Linked DNA regions of Drosophila melanogaster. The protein of the gene in region 1 interacts with the protein of each later gene in a pairwise test. Each region holds a gene or a part of one and is shown on either strand. Other genes may lie near its edges. The genes, in order: Nf-YC and CG10321.

Region 1 (6,594 bases):
TGAGTGTCACCAGGCTGGGGCATCCACTCCAGTCTATCCTCACTACTGTCGCCTCTCGCAGCTCAAATAGTTGACTGCGCAGCGCCGACTGGATGAAGTCCTCGGTGCGTATGTCCTCCACGCGACGCATGGCTCCGCTGGCCAGTTCAATATAGGATCCCCGACGGAAGCAGGAAGCGGAGTCGTCGGAGAACCCACTAAAATTGAGGCAACTGATTAACTGGATGGGAAAAAGTGCCGAATCGTTTGCTTACTTGCTGGACCAGTGCTGTTGCGACGGAGGAGGAAGAGACGGTGGTTGCCTCCCGATTGGATCGTAGCCGCGGCCATAGGAGAGTTCCATGTGCATCTGCATGTCGATCTGTTCGTCTGGACGGAAGCTCGTCAACTGAAGTATTCCCTGCCCAGGCTGGCAATTGATATACACTTATTCATTCAGCTCCAGCGTGTTTTCCACGGTTTTTCCAGGAATGTCACCCACTCGGACGGACGGCCGGCCGACTATTCCGCCTCGTACCTGTTTTATGGCCCAAAAGGCCATAATCTGGTCGTGCCAACAGGTACGTGGCACCTTAGACGCCGCCGGTGACCGCTACCTGCCCACCGAATTCTGCTTAACAGCCATTGTTCGTTGTCCATTGTGCCGATCGGACCAGAGAATCCCGTCCAGCGGCGCCGAACTGGCTGTTGCGCCAGGCGCCTTGAAGACTGCTCGGCTGCACCACCAGCACTACCACTCTGAATGCAAGACGTGACCAATTGCGGATTTCTGCTGAAGCCCTTTATAGCGCTCCGTTTATTTGGTTTTTCGTTTTCTCTTAACAGCGGCCGCGGATGTGGACGATGCGATGGGCACCTTGCCCCAGCTAATGCCCAGAGCGTACAGATAGTAGGCCCCAAAGAAGTAGAGCACTCCCAACGCCGAGTACACGGAGGTCAGCAGTAGGGGCAAGAAGGGCAGGCGCTGGTCCAGGTGCAGCAGGAAAGAGAGCAGATGCTCGTACAGCGGAATAGCCATGAAGCCCAGCATGTATAGCCACTCCAGCGTGTGGAAGCCTCGGAAGCCGGGGAAGATGCGATACAGCTGGCCGTACATCATGGCCACGTACGACATGTACAGGGAATACCGGGGAATGTACAGATCCGCATCGAAGAGCAGCGGAAAGAGAGAGAAATAGCCGGCAATGCCAAGGACATAGGCGTATCTGGCATCCTCCCGGTTTACCAGCGTGAGCAGACTGAAAAAGGGTGGGCCTGTTAGTAGGATTCCTTCATTTCGAATTAACTGAGGGGAAGGGAACTCACCAGAGCGGAAGGAGCACCATTAAGATGGCCTTCTCGTGCACATGCCAGCCGAAGACGAAGGAGGAACAGCCGCACAAAACCACCGCTCGCAGGAAGACCAGCGGACTTTGTCTGCAAAGAGATGGCGGATAAGTTTGCTGCGATATCTTGGAATCCAAACGAGGATTTCCTCACTTCTTGGCACTGCGAAAGAGCTTCACCAAAATGGGCAGCATGAAGAGAGCGGTCAGGGCAAAAGTCACAGGCGGTGTGATGGCTGGCAGCACCGAGTGCCTGACCTCCTGGACCAATCCTGACGTCGTCGAGGCACCGCCATCCTGTACCTTCAAAACTCCGGCGGCCAACTTGTCGGCGGCATTGTACAGCGCCCAGAAGTTGGGTGCCCAGTAGGCGTGCGTTAGGCCACGCTTGAAAGGAAACAGACGGGAGAGGACTTGCGGCAATTGCTGCCAGAAGGGTCCGAAAGACACGGCGAACGGAGTAAGTCCAACGACCAGCAGCTTGACAACGGCACCCACCGCAGACACCACACTCGCTTGCTCCAGGCAATAGAAACGCAGCAGGTAGACCCCAAAAGCGGGCGCCATGTACAGAAAGATGTGCTTAAAGTTGAGCAGCACGGCGAAGGCAAAGGCGCTCCAGAGGAACCGCTGCCGGATGAGGGAACCGATGCTCAGGAGCAGTATGCCGAACAGCAAGCCATTGTACTGAAAGTGAATGTGGTCCACGAAGATCAATCCCACGTTGAGGAGCAGCAACATGGAGGCGGCAAAGAACTGCTGCGTATCCCTGCCCAATCCCAGTGAGCCCAGGCAGCTGCGCACGCCGAGCACATACACTAGATCCGTAACAATCACCGAGAGCCGCTGAAAGTAAACGGTGGCCTTGGACTCGTAATTCAGGTTATCCACCACCAGCATTCGTGGATCCACGTACTTGGCCACCTGCGAGAGCAGCCACTCGAAGTAGGCGAAGAACGGCGGATAGTCCAGTGTCCACTCGCTGGTGGCGTCCACATACCACTGATTCAGCGGCAAACTGTGGGTGATGGCCAGCCAGTTGCGATGGACTTCGAAATCCGTGGAATGGCTAAGGATGAAGTTGATTTAGTGGGCTTGATAAGTGGACAGAGCACTGCATTTACTAGGCTGGAATCAGCAGGATCTTTAGGCCGGTGGCTATGCCCACCAGGTGCCAGAAGAGGTCCTTCATCTTCGTTTCTCTCAGGGATTGGGATTGTAGTTTAGATTCGATGCATTCCTTATCAGCGGTAAGTGCTGTCCGATCTGGCTTGAAAGCGGGCAGAATGCGATTGTCGATTGTGCCGGCTAAATGTGGCTTGGAAGTAGCCAGTTAGCCCGACTAAAAGCTATCGTTATCGGGCTGTCCAGTTTTCGCCCTCACCGCCGCCTGGTCACACTGACGCTCGCGTGTATGCATGTGTGTGTGTGTGCATTACATTACGCATTTGCTTTGCGAATTAGAAGCTAATTAAAGCGAATATTGTGGACTCGAGCCGGTCGCCAGAGTCCCACGGTTGCCGCCAACGCCGAGCTAAGGTCTCCAGCCAACCGGGCCATGTACGCCACCAACAATGGCGGCACGAACAAGGCGCCAAACAGGTAAGTTCCGCCTCCGCCAGCAAAATCTAGCGCCCCTCCCCCAAAAAAACAGGCGGTACAGCCGAGATTTTTAGTGTGTGCGCCGATCCTTTTTGTTTTCATTCTGCGATTTGTGCATGCCAAATAATTTGAATGAAACTAATGTGAATGCCCTACAGCAATGCCACCTCCATGTTCGACAACACCATCACAGTGACGCCCATAAAGATGGAACTGGGCCAGGCGTATGCCAAATCGCAAAATTCAGCGGCTATGCAGCGAAGAACACCGAATGCAGTGGTGGTCACCTCCTCCTCCACCGTCTCCTCCGCCCAGCAGCAGCAGCAACAGCAGGGCCAGCAGCAACAGCAGACGGTTCCCATGGCCAGTTTGGTGTCCAACGCCTGTACGCTGGTTAATCCCAGCATGAGTGTGACGGTGGCCACCACCGTTGCGAGCGGCGCCAAGGAGAAGACCACGAAGGCCACACGAACTCAGGTGGCACGCAAACCGCCGCCCACCATCGACAACTTCTGGCCAAATATCGTGAGCGAGGTGCACAGCATCGGCCAGGTGGATGCCAAGCACCAGGTGCTGCCGCTGGCGCGCATCAAGAAAATCATGAAGCTGGACGAGAACGCCAAGATGATTGCCGGCGAGGCGCCGCTACTGTTTGCCAAAGCCTGCGAGTACTTCATTCAGGAGCTGACTATGCACGCTTGGGTGCACACCGAGGAGAGCCGGCGGCGTACGCTCCAGCGTTCGGACATTGCCCAGGCCATAGCCAACTACGACCAGTTCGACTTCCTCATCGACATTGTGCCGCGCGAAGAGATCAAACCGTCGTCGGCGCAAAAGACCAAGGATGGCAGTACATCCAGTTCGAGCGGAATGGCGGGCGCAGCCAGCAGTGCCGCCTCCACCTCCAACACAGCCACCTCCAATGCGGCCGCCTCCGTGGCGGGCAATGCTACCGCCACGGGCAACTTTGTAGCCAGTGGTTCCACCGTACCTGCGACCACCGCTGGTGGCCTCAAGCTGGACACCACGGGTGCAACCAATGCCGCCGAGGTGCTCGGCTTCAGCACTGTCAACTCGGACATCTTCTCAGCGCAACTGCAGCAGCAACAACAACAGCAGCAACAGCACGCCGCCCAGCAGCAGCAGCAACAACAGCAGCAGCAACATCACCAGGCACATCCACAGCAGGTTCAGATTATTCAGCAGGGCGCTGGTGGCCAACAGTTGCAATACTTTATCGCACTGCCGAGTCAGCAGGCGGCGCAGCTCGTGCAGCAGCCGCAGCCCGCGCAGAATCATCTACCCATCAACATTTTGTCAACCCAACAACCCACCCAGCAGTTGATACTGACCGCCGGTCCCAATGGTCAGCTGACCGCAACGCCAGCGCCGCAAACGACTGCCCAGCAACAGACGGCGCTGCTCCAGAATCTCGCCCAGCAGCAACAGCAGCACCAGCAACATCAGCAGCAGATTCAGCTGCTGCAGCAAGTGGTTACGCCCACGGGGGAGCTGACTAATGTGCCGGTAGGTATCACTTGAGGTAATTGTATTGAATCCCAGATTAAGACTTGCCTTTCCCATTGCAGATCGCCATCAATGCCAGTCATTTGAATCTCCTGCAGCGACTACAAATGCAACAGCAGCAGCAGCAGCAACAACAGCAGCAGCAACAGCAGCAGCAGCAACAACAGGTCATCATACCAACCCAACTGCTGACGACACAGCAACTGCTCCAGCTGGGCGGAGCACCCACAGTGGCCCATCAGCAGCAGCAGCAACAGCAGCAGCACGCCAATCTCACGCAGCAGAGCAACGCCAGTGCGGTGGCCAGTGGCACGCCGATCTTTATCAACTCGACCATGACTGGTGCCCAGGCGGCGGCGACGCAGGCGCAGCAGCAGCAGTCGGCGCAGCAGCAACAGGCACAAACGATCTCCACCATGTCCACGGATCGCACATTAACCGGCGGATTTCGGTAAAAGCTGGAAGTATGATATCCGTACCAACGGACGGACGGACAGACGGACAGTTGGCAATCATATCGAAAGCATCGGGAGGCATTGGAATCGGGCATTGGCAAGCGGGCATTGATTGCGCCATCCCCTGTCATCCAGCACAATGTATAATATTATAGTTTACGTAGGTGTATACGATTGTATATCGCGGGGGAGATTATATATAGCTAGTGTCTAAGTCGTAGGCATCTGTGTAGAAACGATTTCTCAATTGTAATTTATTGCTGACCCTCCCGCCCCCTGGCAGCAGGTTTCACCTTCTCCAAAAAAAAAAACCGCCACCTCCACCACTTTTAAACCTAGCACTTAGAGAGAATAATGGGAAATCGAGTGTATTAGTGTATGTATGTGACGGGTGACGGATGCCACCGGTCCAAAGCATAACCCAGCGTTTCGCGTGGCATCCGCGCTCTTTATTATGTATTTGTACTTCTAACTAAGCTAAGATCTGATAAACAATTATAAGCCACCAAGGACTATGTGCCAGAAACTCCTGCGCTAACTGTATTCACTTTCTGGCCAGGATCTTGTTGATGTCCTGCAGTTCGCGGGTGCTCCATGGTTCCAGCGGATCGGGCGGCGATTGCGTTCGCCGCGTGTAAGCGGAACGTCCCCGCTGGCTGCGCTCGTCCGGATCATCGCTTTGCTCCGGCGAAACTCTGGCGCCCAAGGAAAACGTGGGATTAAGATATGAAACGGACACTGGGATGGGAACTCACTTGTTTCGGCGACGAACACGAGCACTTTTGGCGCGACGAGCGGCCTCATCCTGTGCTGGCTGGCACTTGCGCAGGTGAAACTGCTTCATAGTGGCGTGCACCTCCTCCGCCGTGGGTATATCCTCGCTGTCCTGTCCACCATTGCCGTCCTCGGTCTCCACTTCGGCTTCCTGTTCGATGGTCAGCACCTCCTCCGCGACGGCTTCATCGAAGTGGAAGCCCTGCTAGTGGGTTTACATTTTGCACTCAGCTATTTCACTTTTTTTATCCACTCACCGTGTCCACATCCAGGCCAGGTGGTGCCCACACCGAGGACATGGGCTGAAACTGTCCATGGCTGTGACCCTCGAATCCCTGCTGATCCCGTCGAATTTCCGCCTTGGATAGGGCATTGTGTGTCCGTTTGGCCAGCGATAGCTTGCCGAGAATGGGTCCGCCGCTGTCGCTCTCCTCGGTTTCCACCTCGGCCAGCATGGCCATGAACTCCTCCAGCTTTTTGGGATCGACAATGTCCTTGGGGTCTTGGAAAAGATTGCTCAAGTTCGAAATGGGCAGTGGCATGGCCATTAGATCGGAAGCAGCAGCAGCAGTAGCAGTAGCTTGTGTTGCAGGAGCGGCTGGAGATGCTTTGGCCACCGAAGCCACTGGCAGTGGATCCACCTTCTTGGCCACCGGCGCTTGCGGCTGTGTCTTCATCGTTTGCTCCACCAAATCGAAAGCCTTATTGGCCAGCTGCTGCAGGCCGGCAAAGTAGTGGGGATCATGGGTCTCCGGTCGCTGGTCCGACATCATGATCAGCTCCCTGAAGGGATCCGGTGCTGGCGGTGCGGGCGGAGGCGCTGTTACCGATCGCAGGGTGACGCCATTGGAGGAAGCCGGGTTGCTAGCGAAGGTCAGCATGTCCATGGCGTTGGTGAAGTCGGAGTCCGT
Region 2 (7,694 bases), on another chromosome or scaffold:
ACGAATACATTCATCACCCCGGTCGTTGCTCACTAACTGGGTTTTCGGTGACGCTATTACGGACACGGACCGGCTCTCACCGAAAATCGAAGCGAATCTCGGCCGAATCCTTCATCAGTAGATAAATATGGTGATATTAAGGTGTTCGTTGTGCGACAGCTTGGCGGTCAAGTTGAATGCGTTCGTATAGGCCGTTGCTCAGGTGTTAGAAAATTGCAAATTTAGTTACTACTTGACCACCGAAGTGTGCCTATCGACGGCTGTGGAGCAATTCAATCGAAGAACTCTGTGCATCTGATCTGCGGAAATGTCTATGAAAGCCATCATCATCGGATGCCTGGCCGTGCTGGTGACACTGGGTGCGGCCCTCGATGAACATCCTCATTTCTGCATTAAGACAGATCCCCTCCTTCTGTCGGAGATCGATCGACATGTGGTCATCCCCAGCGAGGAGGACCTACAGTGCCATATTAAGGCCACCACGTTGACCCAAAACGAGAAGGTAAAATTTTGGGCATATGGGAATACCCATTTATAAGCTAAAGTTTTCTGGATTTTCTTGGGGGGTAAGCAAACATACTAAAAGTGGAATTTTAGAACAGTCAATTTATGGCAATTCGTTATGGATACAACTGCTCTTGGAATAAAAGTATTTCAGTTAGTGCAATTATTTGGCGACTAAGGCAGATTGCACGATTCCATATTTGTTAAAAATGGCCTCAATTTGAAAAACTCCCTACCTTTAATGGCAAATGGTGCGTCGCCAAACTAGTTTGCCCCATCGACATCCTTAAGTGACAAATCCAATGCCAGCCAATAAATTATTCGAGTGGCTGATATTCCAAATTGAATTAGCTTGACGATAAAGTGACAAAGTGTCCATCGCAGCTGAAGAAGATAATGCCGGCGGACCTGAGATAAGCCGAAGACGGTGGTTATATACGAACAAGGTGTTTGTTTCAGTCTTTTACTTTTATCTCTTCATTTTCCAGGCAAACCTCGTGGACACCCTGTGCGCAGATCATGGCTCCACCACAATCAGGCGAGATAACCATCACTTTTTTAGGCTGCGCAACGGAGAACTGACTGGAAGGGGAGTTCAGACGGAGGTGTGCGCCAACGGAGGTGATTCGGTCCTGGCCTGGATTCCCTACCACACCGTGCTCAAGAACTATGCGGCCGAGCTGAATCCCAAGGAGCGACTGACATACATTGCCAAGGCCACGAACGTGGAGCGGGAGAAGACAGAGCTCTGTCACTTCCGACACACGGATCTTGTCAATGCGGTGTCCGACAATCTGTTCACCTGTGTGGTCATGATTTTTGGCGATAACTTTGTAAGTTCCTCGGGAAGATGGTTCGGTTGATGTCCTACAAATATGTTATCTTTATAGTATGGTCTTGAGGATAACATTAACGTACTGGTGGAACTGGAACCTTTGGCATACCAGCTGAGGAACATTACTTACCTGCCGTGGCGCAATGTGACTAACAGCTACAAGATGCACCTGGGTGACAGTGTGCTCCGAAATCCCAGTGGCGAACGTAAGCCCATTTACGGTAGCCTGAACTACGATTTTGTGGAGAAGATCCTTGTGAACATGTCCAGTGTGTACCAGCATAGGAAGCTATCCAGGCTGCCTCTGCTCTTCGAGCACCGGTCCTCTGTTCTCGAGTTGGACTTGTATGGTATGGGTGGCCTGGATGTTGCGGAAAAAGCCTATTTCGGACGAAGCATGGACCCCAGGAGCGAGGTGAAGGTGCAGGTGATTGGTCAATGGGTAGACCAGCATCGGGAGTTCGACGCCGACATATACGAGTACTATGGCCATGGGCTGAGACGCTATAAGGAAACTCTGACCGGGGCCCGGCTCACCTTCATCCGAATAGATTATACGGAGCCGGTTTTCATGGCTCCGGAGTCTAGCAACCTGGCCAAGGCCTCGCTTTTCCGAGAGCCGAAGGTTGGCCAGATAAGGGAGGATCCATCGGGCAACTATACCGAGTGGGAGAACGCACAGGAAGAGGATTACGATGAGGAAGGTCCAGGATTCTACTGCTGGTTTGTGATTACTTGTCTGCTTTTGGCCCTCGCTATTATCCTGGGCATATACATTGTAGTAAGCGCTCACAACAGGAGAACCAAGAAGCGCCACATGTACGAAGTGGCCAACACGAATGTGCCTCCACCCGCCTAAAAATTATGGACATTAAGTTAAGTTTTCTAAATCAGAAAATAACACCAGGATCAACAGGTGTTTTCAGTTCGAAATGTCAGTTTAAAAAACGAGTTGGCAGCTCAATTGCTATGTCCTCGAATTAAAATTTGTGTGTTCGTTTTTTGGGTTAGATTTATTAAAAATTTCGGCTTGAAAATGTTAATGTGAGTCAAAAAACTGTTGTGTGTTTCATTGAATATGTAAAGAAATCCCCTGGTATGAACGGCAAGGAATGGCTCTAAAATCGAGAAATTAAAGAGACTTGTGAGCTGAAGGACCCACATCAAAAACCTAAGTTGTAAATAGAGAAAAGGTAAGTTTCAATGGAATTTCATGCCTTAAACATAAGAAGTTTTAAGTATTAAAAAGAAATCTAGAAATCTGAGGAAATAAACAAAATGATTTCCGACCGGCATGCGTTAGGGATTTCTGTCTTTATACCACGTTGGCAGCGCCATTCACAACACGCCTATCATCTCACTCACACTCGCACACAGAGAAAGACAGATAGAGGCAGAAGTTCAGTTCATCAATTCATTCATCTCATGGAAGAACCTTATTGATAACGTCGCCAGAGATAGCTAGTGATTTCATTCGATCAGGGTCCCGAAAGACCCACTGGTGTGCACTTGTTTTGGTTTTGAAGTTCGCATCTCTGGGAACGTGTGTGTTTCGCCCTGAACCACAAATATGTGAGTTCCGAATGCGATTTGTGTGACGCGGCCATATTTAAAGAGTTTTTTGTGTTGAATGTGGGGCGAGCTGCGAAAATTACATAAATACAGCGCAGGTGAGTTCATTTTTGTTGCGGGAACCCGGTCGAAAGGTGCTCTAAGTGCGGGTGCAAGTGAATCGAAAACAATATTTACCCAATTCAAGTCGGGAATTATGTATTTGTTTCGTTTTTTGGGCCTAAAAATCGCATTTTTCGCTCACACCAACACCAAGATGGTAAATTGTGTATAACAATATGGCTGTCTCTGTCTGGCACAAGAGCTACCAGACGTGTCGACAGTCCCTGTTATTAACAGCGGGTTAGCAGGTCATTTTACAACAGATGAAATTATTCTGAATTTTAATTGACCATTTTTTGGCGGGCAAATCATAACAAACCTCGTACTCATGCACCTTTCGGGGATCCGCTCATTCTAATGGTTATTTTAAATTAAAAAAAACTGGCCCATTGCAGCCTCCCCCTAGGAACACGAAGTGATGGATCGCAAGAAGGTCCTGGAGCTTGACAAGATCTGCCGCCTGTGCATCTCGGAGCGCAAGGAGATGCGCCCGCTGTTCAGCGAAAAGGTGCCCGAAATGCTGATGGACTGTACCAGCGTGCGGGTGGAGCCCACGGAGGGCTGGCCGGACAAGATCTGCGTGCAGTGCGTCCACGCCGTAAGCCGGAATCACGCCTTCAAGACGCTCGTCGAGCGCAGCGACAAGGAGCTGCGCGAGTATATCCGCGGTCTTACCGTGGCACTGGTAATGGAGGAGCAGCAGCAGCAGGAGGCGGCAAACGCTAAGCAGCAGCTTCAGCTGGAGCGGAAGCAACAGCGACAGCTGCAGAAGCAACAGAAAATCCTCGAGGAGCAACTCCAGCAGCAGATAGTCCAGCAGCAACAGCATCAGCCTCCTGCCAAACCAAAACTGAAGCCGCTGCTCCGCAAGGGCTCCCGCCAGCAGAAGCAGAGGCATTTGGAGGCCGCACCAGCACCACAGTCAGTCCCGCAGCCCGCCCCTCAGCCACAGATGCAATTAATGCAGGAACATGCGCCGCAACAGCCCACTATGCAGCAGCAGATCCAGCAGATTCATATGCCCACACTTCAGCCTGCTCCCGCCCAGCTACTGTCCGCTGCCGGTGCCACCACGACTATGCCGCAGCAGATCCTGTTGCCCAACGGCCAATTGATAACGACTGCTCAGATTGTAGCGCCGCAGTTGGCGCAGATCATCAGCACAGCGCCGCAGTCAACGACTAATGGTCAGGCCACCGCTGCGCAATCGCAATTCCTGCCACAGCTTCTACAGACGCCGAACGGACAGACGTTGCAGATTGTTCAGCAGCCCAATGGCACGCAGACCCTGCAGCTGGTTCAACTTGTGCCGCAACGCAGTTTGGCTCCGACCGGAGTCACGACAGTGACCACAACTACCAACGCCACGGATATGGGTCAGCATGTAGGCGCTTCTCTCGGTGATGCCGACGTGCAGTTGCTGGAGGACGGCTGTGAGGTGGAAGACGAGGAACTGGAAGATGTGTACGAGCAACTGGATAGCAAGGCAGATCACAGCTTTGAGACTATTGTACTGGACGACGATCAGCAGCAGGACTTCCTAAAGGACCACCACGAGCACCACCAAGTAATGATCAACGAGGATCTCACGCAGAGTGAAAGCCAAGACCATGAGTACTTCGACGATTTGGACCAACAGCAAGCAATGGACGAGATAGAAGACGAGGAGGAGCAAATGAAGCCCGAAGAGGACCAGGATACGTTCATAATCGAGGAGATTCAGCTGGAGGATGACGAGATGCTCGATGATCCGGATGGGGAGGAAATCGACCAGGATTGTGAGTACATCGGTGAGGAACAGGATCCGCATTTGTCCGGCGACGTAGACGACGATCTGGAGTATTCCATTATGGAGCCGCCGGATGGCGAGACAAGTGTGGACATTGACCAGGCATTCATGGATTCTGAGCAGTCGCATCATCAGCAGCACCAAGAAGAGATGCAGAGCATATCACTGGAGAACGCTGTTGTAGAGTTCAGCCAGGCCACAACTACAACGGAAGCCCTGGTGGGTCCCACTATGACCGTCAGCTCGGCCAGTCCGACGCCAAAGCGAGCCAAGCGAAGTAACCACCAAATTCCAGCCGGTGTGACTCTGGAACCCTGCGACCACCAACCACCTGCCGCTGGATCAACGACCAGCAGCAAGCTGGCCGCAGCCAACTCTCGCCAGTTGGTGCAGACGGCCAGCGTGATTGCAGCCGCCGGTGCGGACGACAACTACGAAATAGATGCTAATCTGGTAACTGAGTTCATACGACAGCACACCTCGCCTCTGGGATCTGGGAGATACATTTGTCACCTGTGCAGCACCGAGTTCCGGCAGTTCAAGGGCCTGCAGAACCACATGCACTCCCACACCAACTGGATACGGGCCAATTGCAAGAAACAGCCGCAGTGCCAGATCTGCCTAAAGAGCTTTAAGGGCCCAGGAATGCTGCGGATGCACATGAAGACGCACGACGCTGAATCCAGCACACCGATGTGCACCATTTGCAATCGAACCTTCAAGTCCAAGGCGATCTTGTACAGGCACAGACAGACGCACCAGCAGAGAGCGTATTGCTGCGGCGTGGCCAACTGCCGAAAGAACTTCTCGTCCGCGGTGAACCTCAAGTGGCACGTAGAACGCAAGCATCCGGAGGTTGTGGATCCGCTGTTCAAGTGCGGCGAGTGCGGATCTTTGTACGACAACGTGGACTCACTGCAGCTGCATGTGGAGAGCACGGATCACAGTGCAGAGGTGCAGATCAGTGGCCAGGACGATGCTTTCAGCGGGGCGGTAAGCATCGTCAGCAACGGCACCACCGACATGTCGAACATGATGGCAACCGGCCAGGGTACGACTTTGGCCGGCGGCACGGGCGATACCCACGCCGTGGTCATGGGCTCATCCGGCGAGGTGTACTTCGTGACGCAGGCGTAGCCAGCGGAGTTTGCCGCAGCGGGCGCTCCTGGAAACGGCGAGTGCCTGCTCGGCATTTAGATGACCACTTAGATGTAATATATATACATATATATATATATATTTTTGTACTACCCCCGTCTAGATAACAATTTAGGAATAAGCACAACTACACAAATATTGCAATCCTAGATTTCTGTCGTAGAACTTGTTTAGTAGGACCTAAGCGATTCACTCGAATTTTGTAAGCAGATACGAAACTTTAGGTAGGCAGATCGAGGCGGATCCTCACATCCAAACGCTTGGGGCATAAATCCTGCGTGGACTGTGCCAGTTTTTGTTTTTAATTTTATTACCCTACTATTATTATTTTGTTTTCCCGGGGAATACAGACTGGCATTTTAGGCTAAACGTATTTTGGCGTTGGGTTTTCATTGTTGGGCTTTGAAATAAGTGAATTTGTTTTAACTGAACAACAAAATAAATTAACAAACCTTCTATGAAACCATAATTTGTCTTTCTTGTACGTCCCATCTGGCCGGTAATATTTATTTTTAAGCGTGTAATCCAATTCGCTGGCTTTGTTGGCTTGTTGTTCAATTGCATTGACAGAAGACCGGGAAAAAACAGAACCCAAACAAAATTGATCGAAAGAAAACAACAATCAAGCCAAGGTCTTGTCTATTGATTCCCAATTGCCACGTGTCGCGTTCATCCGGTTATGGGAAGTATCTGGATAACTACGATTCGCGTATGGATGCTTATGTAAATCTGTAAATGCCTATTAGTGTGATTTAGGTACATGTACATACATATATATTATATTATCCATAAAAAGTGACCCCCCAATAATCGGTTATCTGATCGCAGTCTGAAATCTCCGGCTGTCACAAGAAATTGTTAATTAATTAGCAAATAAGCCGCGAAAATAATCAATTGGAATAACATTGTGACAGCTAAAATCGCCAGGCGTTTATTTGTTTTGTTCAGATTATATATGGCGGTCAGCCGCGTTTCGCAAGATAAGATAAAGGTTTGGTTTTCCGCTTACAAATATGACGCATACCTTCGACTTACCGCCCTTAATTTTCCAGCCAGCTGTTGGAAAATCTGGCCCAAACTAAAGCTTATATTGTACATAGATATTTTAGATAGCTAGATTTTTGATTCGTAACTAGCTGTATCTAATGCAACATTTTTAAAATGGGCTTTACCTATACCATCATATGCTTTACATTTACATTTACATATGTATATATTCATTGCACTTATAATATATTCTTCATCTTAAATGTCATGCTTTCATGCTTGGCTGGAAAAGTCCTTGCACTTTAAACCGTCGAAATAAAACTTGGCCACGCAGCCAAATAAATGTCAAGATAAATTTCGTAGGCCAAAACGAATTAATTAGAAAATAGAAGAATTCTTTTTAAGATAATATTTCCTACAAATTTGCTAGTCTATCACATAGTGTATTTTTTACACAAAAATATTTCAAACATTTGAAATCAATGGGAAAAATGTTAATGGGGCTTTACGTTTTAAAAATACATATTTCAAAAATATCTATTTTCGGATCGCGCACTATCGAACAAAAACCGGCGACTGTTGGCTCCCAACAGTTGGTCATCCATTTCAAATTTAATTGATTTGGCACTGGCGAGGGGTTCGTGGAAGGGGGGGGGGATCAAAATAATTGCTCATAATAAATTCCTTTGATTCGCCAACAGGCGAGTCACAAAACACGCATTTACAACCCATTAATGCACAATATTT

Evidence for each region.
Region 2: the proteins of Nf-YC (region 1) and CG10321 interact in a two-hybrid assay, tested with the Drosophila melanogaster proteins (one study listed by BioGRID).

Annotation. Positions count from the first base shown.
Region 1 is NC_004354.4:6,817,016-6,823,609, reverse strand, and holds Nf-YC (nuclear factor Y-box C), read left to right. Parts: upstream 1-2,690; 5' UTR 2,691-2,883; coding exon 2,884-2,927; intron 2,928-3,085; coding exon 3,086-4,454; intron 4,455-4,516; coding exon 4,517-4,909; 3' UTR 4,910-5,432; downstream 5,433-6,594. Other genes in the region: Atx-1 (ataxin 1), read right to left, coding at 1-197, 255-355; xit (xiantuan), read right to left, coding at 797-1,238, 1,306-1,416, 1,480-2,394, 2,450-2,517; iav (inactive), read right to left, coding at 5,454-5,604, 5,665-5,885, 5,941-6,594.
Region 2 is NT_033778.4:21,631,973-21,639,666, forward strand, and holds CG10321 (uncharacterized protein), read left to right. Parts: upstream 1-2,706; 5' UTR 2,707-3,009; intron 3,010-3,408; 5' UTR 3,409-3,431; coding exon 3,432-5,939; coding exon of another isoform or gene 5,940-5,999; 3' UTR 6,000-6,427; downstream 6,428-7,694. Other genes in the region: CG15674 (uncharacterized protein), read left to right, coding at 314-502, 993-1,337, 1,395-2,198.